Macaca fascicularis: one gene and its partners. The protein of the gene in region 2 purifies or fractionates together with the protein of the main gene of each other region. This does not show direct contact. Links are inferred from orthologs where the notes say so. Each region holds a gene or a part of one and is shown on either strand. Other genes may lie near its edges.

Evidence for each region.
Region 1: the proteins of CUL4B (region 2) and COPS4 purify together in Homo sapiens (affinity purification with mass spectrometry; 9 studies listed by BioGRID and IntAct, with this or other methods). This does not show direct contact. The link is inferred for Macaca fascicularis from reciprocal best matches to the Homo sapiens genes CUL4B and COPS4.
Region 3: the proteins of CUL4B (region 2) and DET1 purify together in Homo sapiens (affinity purification with mass spectrometry; 3 studies listed by BioGRID and IntAct, counting the BioPlex papers as one, with this or other methods). This does not show direct contact. The link is inferred for Macaca fascicularis from reciprocal best matches to the Homo sapiens genes CUL4B and DET1.

The regions. Positions count from the first base shown.
Region 1 is NC_088379.1:50,803,600-50,808,997, reverse strand, and holds the start of COPS4 (COP9 signalosome complex subunit 4), read left to right. Parts: upstream 1-2,609; 5' UTR 2,610-2,662; coding exon 2,663-2,736; intron 2,737-5,398. UniProt on the Homo sapiens protein: Component of the COP9 signalosome complex (CSN), a complex involved in various cellular and developmental processes.
Region 2 is NC_088395.1:126,835,239-126,840,636, reverse strand, and holds the start of CUL4B (cullin-4B), read left to right. Parts: upstream 1-2,078; 5' UTR 2,079-2,129; coding exon 2,130-2,157; intron 2,158-2,906; coding exon 2,907-3,449; intron 3,450-3,553; exon of another isoform or gene 3,554-3,732; coding exon of another isoform or gene 3,733-3,754; intron 3,755-5,398.
Region 3 is NC_088381.1:72,982,222-72,987,519, forward strand, and holds part of DET1 (DET1 homolog), read right to left. Parts: intron 4,281-5,298; coding exon 3,188-4,280; intron 71-3,187; coding exon 1-70. UniProt on the Homo sapiens protein: Component of the E3 ubiquitin ligase DCX DET1-COP1 complex, which is required for ubiquitination and subsequent degradation of target proteins. The complex is involved in JUN ubiquitination and degradation.

The DNA of each region.
Region 1 (5,398 bases), on a different chromosome or scaffold from region 2:
ACATTCTTTTGTTATTTATTTTATTTTTTTTGAGATGGAGTTTCACTCTGCCACCCAGCTGGAGTACAGTGGCGCGATCTCGGCTCACTGCCTCCTGTGTTCAAGTGATTCTCCTGCCTCAGCCTCCCAAGTAGCTGGGACTACAGGCACCCGCCACCACGCCCGGTTATTTTTTCGTGTTTTTAATAGAGACAGAGTTTCACCATGTTGACCAGGCTGGTCTCGAACTCCTGACTTCAGGTGATCTGCCTGCCTTGGCCTCCTAAAGTGGTGGGATTACAGGCTTGAGCCACCACGCCTGCCTGAGAACAGACTAATACACATTCTTAAAAGAGATTCCTTCTTTAGGTATTCTTCTCTTTCTCTTTCCCATTAGAGGGAATATGCCATTTATCACACATCAAGATGGCAAAACTCCAAAAGTTTGACAGACTTTGTAAGCAAGCCTGTAGGAAACTGTACCCCTATATATTTCTGGTAGGAAGGCAAAATGATACCATTCCTACAAAGTACAATTTGGCAGGATCTACCAAGATTGTATGTCTATCCTTTGCCTCATTTCTGGTAATGTTTTCTACCTGTACATATATAATGTATGTAAAGGTTATTCATCGCAGGATTGATTAAAAATAACTTGTGTCCTATAAGGATTAAATAAACTAAGACATACCCTTGCTATGTAATATCTTCTAGCTCTAAAAAGAGTGATTTTGAAAGACTGGACAGCTGGTAAGATGTCCAGCTGTCTTAGTCTGTTTTCTGTTGCTTATACCAGAATACCTGAAACTGGGTAATTTATAAAGAAAAGGAATTTATATCTTACAGTTATGAAGGCCAAGAAGTCTAAGGTCAAGCGACCACATCTAGTGAGACCCTTCTTGCTGGTCAAGACTTGCTAGAGTTCAGAAGCAGCACAGGGTATCACATGGCAACGGAGTGACCTTCCTAACATGCTAGCTCAGGTCTCTTCCTCTTCTAATAAAGCCACATGTTCTCTCCCATGATAACCCATTAATCCACAAATGGATCAATTCCTCAGGGTTTTGTCCTCATGATCCAATCATCTATTTAAGACCCACCTCTAAATGTTGCCACATTAAAGATTAAGTTTCAACATGAGTTGTTTGTTTTCTTTTTCATTTAATTTTAATTTTTATTTTTTGAGATGGAGTCTTGCCTTTTTTTTTTTGAGACGGAGTTTCGCCCTTGTTGCCCAGGCTGGAGTGCAATGGTGCAGTCTTGGCTCAACGCGACCTTCGCCTCCCAGGTTCAAGTGATTCTCCTGCCTCAGTCTCCTGAGTAACTGGAATTACAGGTATGTGCCACTACGCCTGGCTAATTTTTGTATTTTTAGTTGAGACGGGGTTTCTCCATGTTGTTCAGGCTGGTCTCGAACTCCCAACCTCAGATGATCCGTCCGCCTCGGCCTCCCAAAGTGCTGGGATTACAGACGTGAGCCACGGCACCCAGCCCTCAACTTGCGTTTTGGAGAAGACAATTATTTCAAACCACAGTACCAGGAAAAGTGCAAAAAACAAAACAAAACAAAACAAAACAAAACAACAACAACAACAAAAAACAAAGCAGAACAATTATGTGGTGTTACTTTTTGTGAAAGGAGAGGTAAAATTTTATATTTATTAATATTTGCTTGTATTTGCAGAAATTCCATAAGAATACATGAGTATTGAATATCATATAAACGCAGGCGACCATATAATCTTCCATTGAAATGCAACCGTTTCTAGAATGAAAGGGGGGATGTTATTTTAATTAATTAATTAATTTATTTATTTAGAGACGGAGTCTTGCTCTATCGCCCAGGCAGGAGCGCAGTGGCGCAATCTCGGGTCACTGCAAGTTCCGCCTCCCGGGTTTTACGCCATTCTACAGCCTCAGCCTCCCGAGTAGCTGGGGCTACAGGCGTGCACCACCTACGCCCAGCTAATTTTTTTGTATTTTTAGTAGACGGGGTTTCACCGTGTTTAGCCAGGATGGTCTCGATCTCCTGACCTCGTGATCCGCCCGCCTCGGCCTCCCAAAGTGCTGGGATTACAGGCGTGAGCCACCGCGCCCGGCCGCAAGGGGGGATGTTATTAATCACTACTCCAGGACGACAGAGGGAAAATGGCTTTGTACTGGACAAACTGGAATATCTGATCAACCTTTATAAAGTGCATGGAGTGGGAGGAGGAATGGGGACTTTTTAATTGTATTTCTAAAAAGTATCGTCTGTGGTGAATCAGAAACAAAACTCGTTCTTTACCACAGGCAGTTTAAGCGCTGCCTGAAAGACCTAAGGACGGTAAACCACAGACATGAGACATGGAACTTTGCGAAAACGCAGTCGTTTTATGTACCGGGTACTTATTGGAGTTACACTAGAGACTCACTCCTGGAGTTCATCAGCCAATCCAAAGTCCGAGCGTGAGAGCCAGAGCCTGTAGGAGAGGGCTGGGCAGGCCTCAGACCTGAGGAGTGGAGCCCCGCATCACTCAACCCTGAGGGCGGAGCTAGCCCAGGCTCCCACACCCGACGCTCTGGCCCACACAGACGCTACTCTGTAGCATCTCAGGTTCCCTCTGGCTGCACTCTGGAGGACCACACTCGTTTTCTTTTTGGCTGCCAGAGGCCCCGCATCCACCGCTGAGCTGGGAGAAAGATGGCGGCAGCCGTGCGACAGGATTTGGCCCAGCTCATGAATTCGAGCGGCTCTCATAAAGATCTGGCTGGCAAGTGAGTATTTCCCAGCAACGCGGGAGTACAGAGGTGGGGAAAGAAAGCCACAGCCTTAATCTCCTTAGGTTGGCCACGACTCTTGGGCGTGAAGCTAGGAACCGGCCTGACGACCAAGGGGGCGGGCCTGAGGTCGGCTAGGGAGGCAAATGTTGGGAGAAGCAGAGAGCTGGAGGGGACCTTGTGCAGGGGCCTTCGAGGCCATAGACTTGGGATGACTGTCAACTTGTTCAGTTATTGATAGAATCCCTCTGGTCCCTTAGGATTTTGGAAGAGCGGTCTGACAGACGACTGCTACCCTGGCCTTAGTAGCCTTCCCTGGTACCTCTTCCTATCGCTGGCCGGCCTCACACCGAATCTGGCCTCTCGTTGGACCTTCCTCCTCCTTTTTTTGATTCAGAGAAATGTATATTCTGGGGCCTTGATGGTGTGTTTTTCGGGGAGATGGCTTCTTGGGGCTGGCTGAGACTGAGGAGGTATGGCCGCTGTCATGTCGTCCAGACCACTCAGACTGTCTTCTGTGGGTCCTTGTGTTTCGGGTATTTTCTCCGCCACCAACTCTGAAGGCACATAGGCGGAATGTGCTCATATCGCGGATCAGGATGTCTAGAGTAGTGATGTTTGCAGCAATCTGAATTTTGTCGAAATTCATATAGAATGCTTAGGTTCACTCCAAGTTAAAATGTGTGACGTGCCTGTTGTGCAAGCAGTTGTTCAACAGTATTAAGCATAGGTAGGTAGACGTATATTGTTCATTTTCTCTTTGTAGATGTCACAGCACTGATCTTTTGTAATGAACTTAAAGTATGCCTCTCTAGGCCGGGTGCAGAGAGGCTGAGGTGGGAGGATCACTTGAGGCCAGGAGTTCTAGACTAGCCTGGGCAACATAGTGAGACCCCCGTCTCCATAAATAAATAAGTAAATAAAGTATGCCTCTCAAGTTGATCTTAATGTTTACATCCTGACAGCTGAAATCACTTTATGTATGTTAATGGGATACACCAGCTCTAACCTGGTCATCGAAATTCTGACTGTTTTAAGTAGGCTAGGCTGCCTTTTCTCTGGTGGTAAATGTAATCTACTTTTATCAGTGGGAAATTCAGCCGTATATTTTGGGCGTAACTACTTTGTGCTGCATTTTCCCATTTAGGAAAATGAAGATGGTAATAGGACATATTCTTGTCTGAGATTATCTGAAGACAAGATGAGTATCTGTGTGCATATATACTTACCACACTTATATCACCTAGAACAGTACCTGACATATAGAAAGTGCCGCAAGATTGTTGTTACTATCACTAAGCTGTCAGTAATATATATTCACTTATTGTATGGGTTGGAAACAAATATGTCTTCATGGCTTAATCCTTTTTGCTTGTAATTTTGTAGATATGGATGAAAGTAAAAGCAGCTTATATTTTTCCCCCATGCTTCCTTTACTTTTTATTTTGTAAAAGAAAAATAAGTGCATTAGTTATCAGAAGAAATAGAGCTTTTCATGTATTTGGAGAGTTCTGAAACTTAAGTATTTACTTTTTCAGGTCTGAATTGGAGATAAACAATAGTATTTATAGGGTACTTCAGTTATCTGTTGCTTTGTAACCAAAAACTTACCAGTGTAAAACAACTGTGATTTCTCAGGATTCTATGGATTGACTGGACAGCTCTTCTGGTCTTGTCTGGGCTCACTCATGCAGATATAGTCAGCTGGCAACTCACCTGGGGCTGGACTCACATGCATATCTTGCTCTTGGCAGGATCTGTCTCTCTCTGCACATAGTCTCTCATTCATTAGTTTAGCTTGGGCTTTCTTAGGTGGCTATGAGAGGGGAAGTCACAAGACCTCTTAAGGATAGCCTAGAAAGTCTCATATCAATTCTCTAGTACTGGTAAAAGTAAATCAGAAGACCAGCCCAGATTCAAGGGGAGGGGAAATGGAGCCTACTACTGCCTCTTTAGTGACAAAGTTACATTGCAAAGGAGCCTGGACAGAGGGAGACATGATTCATTGGAAGCCATTACTGTAGCAATCTACCACATGGTGTTGTGAAGATTAAATGAAATAATGTGCTTGATAACTGATAGCCAGTGCTGTGTTAGCCAGCAACTCCTTCAGAGCTGCTTTCTGAGAAAAGTCTTGGGCTTGCTTGCAGTTCCTATCTGAGCAAGAAAGTATCAGGATATTTATCCTTATAACAACATCAGTTCTACCAGCTACATGCTTTAAGAGAAATACCCTTGAAATATCAGTTTTTTTTTTTAATGTATTTTTTCTTGTATGTACTTTTAATGAAGGTTTTTGGGGATTTTTTAGGAGCTGAGAAACAAAGGATTCCATATTAAAGAATAATGGAGTACATTGTTTCTAAAATATCAATACTGTGTGTTCCCAGCAATTGGGATATCTATAACAACAGTTGCTCAATACATGTGGTTGAATTAATGAATAGCTAGAAAGGGGCAGAGCTTGTATTTGAACCCAGGTTCATCACTCTAAAAAGCTCATTTTAAACCTACCAGACTATGCTCGTTTTCTTGTTAAAAACTCAATTAGAAATGCTTTCCCATAACTGTGGATTAACACAGCTGTCTAAAGTTTATGTAAGAAATTAGTCAGATGAAAAGCATTTTCCTCCATTTTGTAGGCTGTTTTTGTGCATAT
Region 2 (5,398 bases):
GGCCCAGCACTTTGGGAGGCTGAGGCGGCAGATCACTTGAGGCCAGGAGTTTGAGACCAGCCTGGCCAACATGGCAAAACCCTGACTCTACTAAAAATACAAAACAATTAGCAGGCATACTGATATGCGCCTGTAGTCCCAGGTACTCAAGGAGGCTGACGCACAAGAATCGCTTGAACCCAGGAGGCAGAGGTTGCAGTGAGCCAAGATTACACCACTGCACTCCAGCCTGGGCGACACAGCAAGATTCTGTCTCCAAAACCAAACCAAACCAAACCAAAAAACCTATGTGGTATATTCAAAACAGATAGGAGTGCTTCCATCTGTCCCTTTTCAGGCCCCTGTCTCCCTTCTCAGGGGCCTTGGGTTCTAAGTTCCATTAGAGCCTTGCTTTCAGCAGGCTGTCATCAAATAGCAATGATATCGTTTAATAATGCCAAAGGTTGATTTGCATTTTAATCAGGGACTTTTCAAGACACAAAAACAAGTAGGCCTGTTTAAACAAAGTTAGAAAGTTATTTATTTGCAGGGTTCTGATTCACCTATCACAAGCTATACCATACAAGCTGCTTTTACTCCACTCACAATCCTGTCACTCCTGGTTTGTAAAAGCTCTGCTTGCTGGATTGTCTCCCTGCTATCTATGATTGCCTACAGAGTAGACTCCAAATTCTTGGCTTGGTGTGCCAGGCCCTTTTGAGCCTCATCTTCCTTACTCCCAGCTAGACATCCTACTTCCCAGCCTCACTGCACTTTCCATGTTTCCATAAACAGGCCAGGCCCTTTCACTCCTTGCTTTGCCCTTGTTTCCATTCCCCAAAATGCCTTTCATCCTGTTCCCTCTTGTCTTTTTGGCAACTCCCACTTTGAGGCACAGCATAAACACAATCTCTGTAAAACTATTCCTATTCCAGATTTCCCCCAAATTTCTTGTTTTGCCTCTTCTGACAGCACTTTGTATATCTGTCATAGTATTGTTATGGAAATTAGTTTTGAAACTATCTTCCCTTACTGGCTTCTCAAGGGCAGAGACCTTGCATAGTGTCTTACCATACATGCTCACTGAATGCTTTTGCAGTTAGAATGATCAACAGGTTGGCAAATTTAGTTCTATTTGACATTGTGTTACCTCCCTCTGAGAATGCCCCAAGGTTAAGTAAAAACTCCCAACAGGGAATTTACAAGGTTGATTGTTGCTAATTTAACTAAATTTAAAGATTTTTAAAATCAGTCATCAAATGTAAAGCGGGGGCTCATGAAACACATTGGTAGAAAACATTAACTTTTGCCAATATTGTTCTAAAATGTCTCCTTTGGGACAGCGTGTAAGCTGAGATTTGGCAAAAGAAGGAAGTGGGTCTTAGCTTTGGTCTATAAATTAGAGTTAAGGACTGATAGAGTGGGGGTTAGGACGGTCCTGGGCACAGTGCTCAGTGGGTGAGTGGTTAGTTACCTTTCTATTTCTTCGCCTTAGAATACACCCTTAATTTGGCCAGCCAGCTTAGAAAATGCTCCTGGTAGGAAGATAAAAGGATTTACAGCTACATGAAAGAGAAAGGCATCAAAACTCAGGCCTTATTCAGCCTTGGGTCTGTGGTGCCTTGAGATAAAAGAGAAACAATTTATAGCGGCACCGAATCAAAAAGTCCTTTTCTTCCTATCTTAGCTCGTTTTCTTCTCCTTTCCTATCTTAACATCGGGACATTCCTCTCCAGTAACGGGCATAATAGCATGATTATGTTTTCCTCTATTTAGGGTTACTCCCCTAGCCTTGCAACCACTCCTTATTCCTTTATCTCTTTCAAAGTTTCCATTCTCCCGGACCTTTACATTTTATTTCGTCCCTCCCTCTCTCCTCCTCTTCCTCCTCCTCCGTTTTCCCAGCTAGCTCACTCCGCCCCTCGCCGTCACTACCTTCCCTCCCCGAGGCTCCTTCCCGCTCCTCCCCGTTCCTCCCGCCACCCCCCCCCCACCCCCTCGCCTTCAGAAAGCTCCAATCAGGAGCTCCGAAGGTGTCTCGAAGGCCCGCCCCCTCCTCCCATCCACTTTTCTTCCCCCCAATTTCTCCCTCCCCCCTTCCCCCCCCAACTCAAGTCCTGCGGGCCTGGGGGCTTCGGGATCTGGGCGCTATGAAAAGTGTCTGCCCAGTCACTTCCGGTAAGGGCGCTGCGGCGCGGAGCTTCCCGCGGGACCGTTAAGGAGCGAGTGGGAGTCCCCGGTGGGCCAGGGAAGGAAGGCGCTGCCAGGAAGGGGGAGCGCGAAGGAGAGCGGGAGCCGGAGCGAACTAACGCGAGCGTCTGGGGCACTTTAGCCGCCCCTTCCCAGCCGCCCCCTCACGCGCGAGCTCACCCGCCCCCCGGGCGGCTGCAGCGCTTCCCTCACCCCCAATCCCTGAGGTTGGCACCGCCCCTCCCTCGGTGCCGCGTGACCGGAAATGGCGCCATCTTTAGCCTCTTGTGCTATTGACAATAACAAGCCCTGGTTCTTTCCCCCTCCCCCTTTCCCCCAACCACAGCCTCTCCCCTCCCAGGGAGAGGGAGAAAAGGAGGAGGAGCTGCAGCCTCACAGACTCGCTGAGTCGCTCCTGCAGAAAGGGGGGGAGAGAGATCGAAAAGCAGGGGAGGGGGACGGCACGGCCGTTTACCTGTCTGCCTCCTCATTCGCTCTCCCCCCTCGTTCTGCTCACTCCTGGTGTCAGCCTATCCGCCTTCCCAAACCCTCCCATTCCCCCGGTGTAGCCCCCCCCGCCTTCACTTTCCTTCTCGTCCTCTGTGTTTCTCCTCTCTTCTTTCTTCCCTTCCCCCTCTAGCATTGCCACCTTCTCTCCTACACGCACGCAGGCATATAAACGTAGGTTTTTGATGCTCCTCTGCCTGTTGACCCCGCTATTTTCATGTTTCCAACAGGTTTTTCTTCCCCCAGTCCCTCAGCTGCTGCTGCTGCTCAGGAGGTCAGATCTGCCACTGATGGTAATACCAGCACCACTCCGCCCACCTCTGCCAAGAAGAGAAAGTTAAACAGCAGCAGCAGTAGCAGCAGTAACAGTAGTAACGAGAGAGAAGACTTTGATTCCACCTCTTCCTCCTCTTCCACTCCTCCTTTACAACCCAGGGATTCGGCATCCCCTTCAACCTCGTCCTTCTGCCTGGGGGTTTCAGTGGCTGCTTCCAGCCACGTACCGATACAGAAGAAGCTGCGTTTTGAAGACACCCTGGAGTTTGTAGGGTTTGATGCGAAGATGGCTGAGGAATCCTCCTCCTCCTCCTCCTCATCTTCACCAACTGCTGCAACATCTCAGCAGCAGCAACTTAAAAATAAGAGTATATTAATCTCTTCTGTGGCTTCGGTGCATCATGCAAACGGCCTAGCCAAATCTTCTACCACCGTCTCTAGCTTTGCTAACAGCAAGCCTGGCTCTGCTAAGAAGTTAGTGATCAAGAACTTTAAAGGTAACCAAGGCCAAAATCCATAATCACCTAATAAGGATTTGACACTCGAGGGGTCACGTGCTCTATTTATGTTAATATATTAAACAGTTTGGAGGTGGCCTAATGTTTTATGCATAATCAATGAGGTGGAGGGGAGGTCCTTTTTTGGTGGAGGGTTCATTTTCCGGGGGTGGTTAGGATCCTTGTGCTGAAGCATACACCGGGTGTTTCTGTGCAGTATTTTGAGGTTTTTTTTCAGCCTATTGTATTTAATCTGTTATTCCTTATAACACTGACAATCGGTATGATTGATCCGGATTTTACAGGTGAGAAATTTGTATTCTAAAGAGGTTTATTTATTTCAGGTGCATAGCGAGCCTTGGCACTGCTGGGATTTTTATTTTTATGCTTCAGTAGGCCACATTATCCAATGCCTAGAAATGCAGGTAGCAATAGTGATCTTTTTGTGCTCAAATAATATTTATAATTAGATTTACACTGTATTCATGAAACTCATTTGGAAGCAATATTAGAAGAAAAATTTATGTTCTCTGTATTTCTTTCCAAAGGTAGGGTTTGAAAGTGAAAAACATTGTGTATACACAGAAGTAGTAAGTCTGTGTACCACTAGTCTAAAGATAGGAACAATTACTACATCTATTTTTTCCATCACTAAAATGGATTTTAAAGTATCGACTTGCAGCTTTTAGGAAAATTTGTTCAGACCGTGTTTGAGATATGTGAGGAGAGTATTATGAATGCATTGATGCAAATATAAAATAAGCAATTTTTAAAACTGTATTTGAGCTGAATTTTTATCTGTTGAATGTGTTTCTGTTTTTCTGACTGACTTTTCAACACCCTTAACTGCCAGGTAATCAGTGCTACAGTGTTTATTAAATAGGGAAGTAAATGAATGAACTTAAGTAATATTTATGAGATAAGTGCTTTGTGGCTGAATATTAGTATTGAGAAGATCAGGTTCTCTATGCTTGTGTTTTTAACATTGAGTGGAAATCAGGAATGTGCTCTATTTTGTCTCAAGCAGAGGGCTATGGTGTTGTCTATTTTTAACTCTTTCTTTTTTATATCACTACCTTCCCATACCCAGGTTCTCAGTTTATGATTTAATAGTAGAGCTTTCTGAAGTCAATATGAATTGTAATTGACTAACGTGTTCATTATTTCACTTAAAAATATATGTATTTTTATAGCCAAATATTTTTAAATGAGTTATGATCCTGGTTGCATTTTCAAATTGGTTTCAGAGATTTTTTTCTCTCCCTCCTAAGATAAAAGCATATTAAGGCATTTGGATGTTCTAATTAAAACTTTTTTCCCCACACTCATTGCTAGTCAGTGAAGTTTAAAGCCTAGAGTAAGGTGTTTCTTTCTATTCTGAAAATGCAACATGATTTCTGGAGTCATTTGGATGTTTCAATCTTTAAAAATTTCACTCTGCTCATAAATGTAGTTTAAAACTACATGGAGTTAAGATATTTCCATTTCTATAGATGCTGCATAAATTTGGGGGTCAAACAGACCTGGATTAGAATCCCAGCTTTGCCATTGACTAGCTATGATGACCTTGGGCAAGCTTACTAAATGAGTTCCAGCCTCAGTTTCCTCGGTTGTAAAATAGATTCCTCAGGGTATTGTTGGGAAGATTAAGAGGTTTATAAAGTACCTTGCACATAGGCAGTATTTTAAATCTCAGGTTAAAAATTCATGTCGACTTAGGTTTTACACATGATGAAGTAAGATCAGGATTGTTGTTTTTTATGGTCATTCTTGAATTTTTATTTTTTTGAAGCAATACAATCAATAGGAGAAAAACCTCACCTTCAATTTTAATAGGTGAGTCAAAATGACTTAAATAGTATTATGACATTTCAAATTTTATTCTTTATATTAAGCTTAAATACAGTGGTTACTTTAATGATTAGGTGTGATAGTTATAAAGATCATAA
Region 3 (5,298 bases), on a different chromosome or scaffold from region 2:
CATCTGACGTATTCTCAAACACAGCAATCACCTCTGTTGTCACCATATTGTATACCACAAAGAAAGATGCCTGCAGAAGAAAAGAGAGAGAGGTATAGGACAGCTGAGTATAATGCCATGCCTAGGAAACTTATCACTTGGCTGAAAATTCAAGGCATGAATTTTCCAAAAACAATAACAACAACAACAAGCAAACACCTCAGCTTTACCACTGAGGTGGAAACATGGCTCCAAGTGGTTCTGGGAAAATAGGAAGCAACCGTGGGATTTATCAATTGAGAGCCTCAACGTTGCCAGATTTCCCACTGTATCTGTGCTGCTAGAATTACTGAGATGGCCAGCATATAAGTATAAAAAGGTTTTAAATTTTCATTTCAAACTGTGCAAATTCAGTATTTTTCCTTCCAAATGTTTATTCCCTACTTGCTCCCCAACCCACCCTGAGATAAAAAGCACTTCTTAAAATGCCAGATTTAATTTTCTTTCCTGCTGAGAAAGTGATTTGCAGCCTGGGGCTGCCTGTTGGCAAATTATTTTCTCTTGTATGTGTACAGTTGAAAGTTCAATTTAGGGGTATTTATTTTTCCCTCTTAATATTTCTAACATGCAGAGAGACATCTTAAGTACATCTTGTTCTAAACTGCCCAGGCAAGTTGTATACAAGCAAGGTACTGCTGAACAAATGAAAAATCAGATAGGCATTTTCCACTTTCTTCTTCATAAATGTGCTTTCAGCCAAGAGCATTTGTAAAATACATTTGAGATTTGTAGCAATTAAGATCAGAGGGGGAACCTGAAAAGCATTCAAATGCCATAGGTGACAGAGTTACTGCTTTTTCTAAATGGGCCCTCGGTGGCTAGCCCTCTTCCTTTAAACTTCCAGTGCTGTGCTCTGCCTAACAAGGAAGTTCCAAGAACCCCTAATTTTTGTTACAGTGAATGTAGCATTGTGAATCATCTACTTCTGACAGGACTCTAGAAGTTCTCAGACCACTAGGATTAGTACTTCAGCCTCCTATGATTGAGTTTAAATCTCAATTACCAATTTCTGGAGCCACTCGACCCACCTGTTTTACTAGTAATTAGTGCTTCTCAGAGCTTATGTTACATGGCTTTTGCAGTCACCTGCAAATTAAATTTGGCTGTAAATTAAAGAGGCTAGAGGGTAACCTGAGAATAATACTCATAATATTACCAAGGCCTTGTGTTTGGATGTACTTTTTACTTATTAATCTTACTGGAACCTATCAAATTAAACTGGGGGAGGAGTGCAGAGGACAACTAGGGCAGAAAGATTGGGTTTAGAGTTACAAACTGTATAAGCAAAGCATAGAGCCCTAGTTATGTCGCTAGCTACGACTTATTGCAGCTAACAGAAACAACTAGGCCACCTTTTAGCAAAGAAGAAAACAATAATCTCAAAGGCAGCAGTCACAGACAACTTACTACCTCCAAAATAAAAAGGCAATTATAGCTCAAACCTAAATAAAGATTGATTCATGTCCTTTCTATAGCCCTGGACAACACTTTGATCCTATCAGGGCTTCACCAGAATCTCTCATAATTACATGGATATAAAATTACTCAAACATTTACTAGCCTTCCCTCCAAGGCAGACTGGGAAGTAAAGAACAGGAGGATAGAGAAGTCAAGGACTTCACTGCAATATCCCATGATACGTAAGACGAACCAGATGCTCACCTGTGATTGCTCAATGGGTGACTTCATCATTGATAGGGAAGAAAAAACATCCACAAAAAATGATTTCTAACCATATTACTCCCGTACTTTTTTTTAGAACACATAAACTACAATTCAGAAGGCAAATGTTAGAAGATATTTTACCACAGGTAACTGGTGAGATTATAGGACATGATACCCTGTACAGAATCTGTTAATGGCAGAAATCAGCTACAGGTCAGTAAGAGATACCAAACTCAGCTGGGCGCGGTGGCTCACGCCTGTAATCCCAGCACTTTGGGAGGCCGAGGCGGGCGGATCACGAGGTCAGGAGATCGAGACCATCCTGGCTAACACGGTGAAACCCCATCTCTACTAAAAATACAAAAAATTAGCCGGGCGTGGTGGTGCGTGCCTATAGTCCCAGCTACTCGGGAGGCTGAGGCAGGAGAATGGCGTGAACCCAGGAGGCGGAGCTTGCAGTGAGCCGAGATGGTGCCACTGCACTCCAGCCTGGGTGACAAAGTGAGACTCCGTCTCAAAAAAAAAAAAAAAAAGAGATACCAAACTCAGTTGACTTCATGATTTACTGATTTGCTGGTTGTTCTGAATTTCCAAACTAGTGTCTAAGGAGACAACCTGCAAACAGGAGAACTGGGGAGACAAAGGTGTAGCAAGGTAGTTCTCTAACTTGGTCAACACTGAAGCGGAGAGGTTTTCAAAGACAAATGCCCAAATTACCCTGAATTTCAATATAGTGTTTCAACCCCCAAATCTTAGCAGTTCTGTGCTCTTTATATCACCTTATTCCCTTTTGGGAAATGCTTCTTCCCCTTACTGAAAGAAAGGCATTCTTCCCCTAAACTGAAAAACCTTTAAGACTTGTTGTCCTGATGACTCTCCTCATGGATCATCAATTTTGGCTTCTTTTTGATCTCTTCACTGCTCTACAAGCTATGTCCCAGCATGTGGGCAAGGTCAGGGTAAAGTCACAGAACTTAATTCCGCCAAATGAGTGCACCTGTTAGTTACCTTATAAATAGGACTTTACGGAGAAGTAAATTATGAACCATTTAAGGACGAAAGTGGGGTTACTTAGAGAATTTTCTTTTTTGTATCGTATACTCATTCTCATTGCCATTACTAAAACGGCCAGACCAATAAGCACAATCTTACAAAATCAAGAGAGGTTATCCATAAGTAGTCCAAACCTTGACCTTGTAGCATTTGGGCTTCCATCTTATGAGTACCGAAAATGCTCTGCAGAAGAGTTAGGGTAGTAATCAGAGTTGACTATCTTCCTGTCAATGACTTGAACTTTAGCTTCCATTTGTCCAGATAAATACATATGACCAGAGAAAAATGGAGCTGATTTTAAGTTTGGGCCCTAGGATATCAACTCAGACTACGTGAAATGTCTATTTCTGAGGGGTGGGCTATAAACAGAGAAACCTTCCCATTTTGTCAAGGAGACTGGACAAGTAAAAGGCAGAAGTGCACCTCATACCTGTGATGGATCTGTGACTCGCAGTGTTACTACATCCTCACTAGTGTACTTGATAAACAGATGGTTTTCATCCAGAAGCTGCATTTTCCACATTCGCAGCTGCCGCAGTTGGTCAAAATACTGGAAGAAGCGCCTCTTGGCCATTGCGCTACCATCCTGTTCTGCCCGGCGCCACAAATACACCAGCAACCGGTGTTTGAGGGAATTGATGAAAGGATCCCTAAAGGGATTGGCCATGCCTGTCTGACTGTCCCGCTGTACCTCAGGGAAAACAGCTGACACAGTGAGCAGGTCATCCTCATAGCAAAAGCGGCCAATGGTCCGCACATCAATGAAAGTGCCTTCAGGAGTCACCTGGAAGACATGGATGGTCTGTTGTTGCACAGACAAGATGGCCAGGATGTTTTTGTACAAGTACAGCCCTTGGTTGTGTGACAAGACCACCTTGTCACACTTGAATGTGCGTGTATCACATAAGCGGCCAGTATGAAGGTCAATGATGTGGAGGGAATAGTCTTCTAGAGGGGACCGTGGGTTGGGGGTCACTGATTCACTGTTCCGATATACCTCAAAAAATGGAGGGTGAGGCTCATCCGGGAGGTAGGCAGCTGAGCCCACGATGACACAGCGGCAGTCATCAGTGAAGAGACTACACTCCCGGTTCAGGTGCTCACCATTGGCTGCAACATTGGTAATGTGCAGCAGGACAAAAAAGCGTTCAAAGAGCCGGCCCCGGATATTCACTGACCGCTGGTCATTGCCATTGGACAGGATTTCTCCTTCATATCCCTGCAGTAGGTCCTCTGCTGCCTGGCAGCCCTGGTACTCATAGATTTCAAGAGATGTCTGGTCTGAAGAAAAAGCAATAAAGTAGCGTCCGTCAGGTGAGAATTTACGCAAAAAACAAGGAGGCTTTTCAACGTTGACAACTGTGAAGTTGGGGAAGACATTCTGATGGAACACTCGGACTTGGTGCCAGTGGGTACCTGCCTTGCCTGAACTGATCCGCCGGCGCTCCAAGCGGTGAATGACATTTTGGTTTTGGATTCTTCGAGGCCTGATGGTAGAAACATGATGATCCATTATCACATCTCTAAACAGAAAAGTAAAGCAGAAGTCAAGAAAATGAAACAAAATTTACCAAAATATAAATATATACAAGTCAAACAGATTTCTCTTCTTATATCCTGAACCTAGGAGCTCCCAGGATGACAGTGACTGGAATTACTGCTTCCCTTTAAGTGGTCCTAACATTTCTAAGTCTAGAAACAGGTCTAAGGGAAGGATCTAGTTCACTAGGAACACCTTCCAAGTATGCTCAGCTGTTGGGAATGTTCAACAGAAAAAAACCTACAACTGCAAATTTGAACAGTATAAGACACATTCAGCCAGGCACGGTGGCTCATGCCTGTAATCCCAACACTTTGGGAGACCGAAGCAAGTGGATCACTTGAGCTCACTAGTTCAAGGCCAGCCTGGAAAACATGGCAAAACCCCGTCTCTACAAAAAAAATAGAAAAATTAGCCAGGCATGGTGGCACATGCCTGTAGTTCTAGCTACTTGAGAGGCTGAAGTGGAAGGACTGCTTAAGCTCGGATCATTGAAGCTGCAATGAGCCATGATCACAACACTGCAACAGAGTGAGACTATCTCAAACAAACAAACAAACAAATCATATTCAATGTGTATTCATTCCAGCAAAAAATATTTATTGGGCTGTTAAGATGTCCATATTACCCAAAATAATCTACAGATTCAATATAAACCCTATCAAAATCCTAATAGCACTTTTTACAAAGATAAAAAATTCATCCTAAACTTCATATGGTATGTCAAGGGCCTCCAAATACACAAAATAATTTTGAAAAAGAACAAAGAGGACTCAAGCCTCCTGATTTCAAAATATATTACAAAACCACAGTAATCAAAAAAGTGTGGTACTGGATAAAGACAGAGACAGACAAATGAAATGGCCCACAAATAAACTCTGGCATACATGGTTAAACAATCTTTGATAAGGTACTACTACTACTCAATAGAAAAAGGATAGTCACTTCAGCAAATGGTGTTGGGAAAACTGAATAGCCACATGCAAAAGAATGAAGTCGGA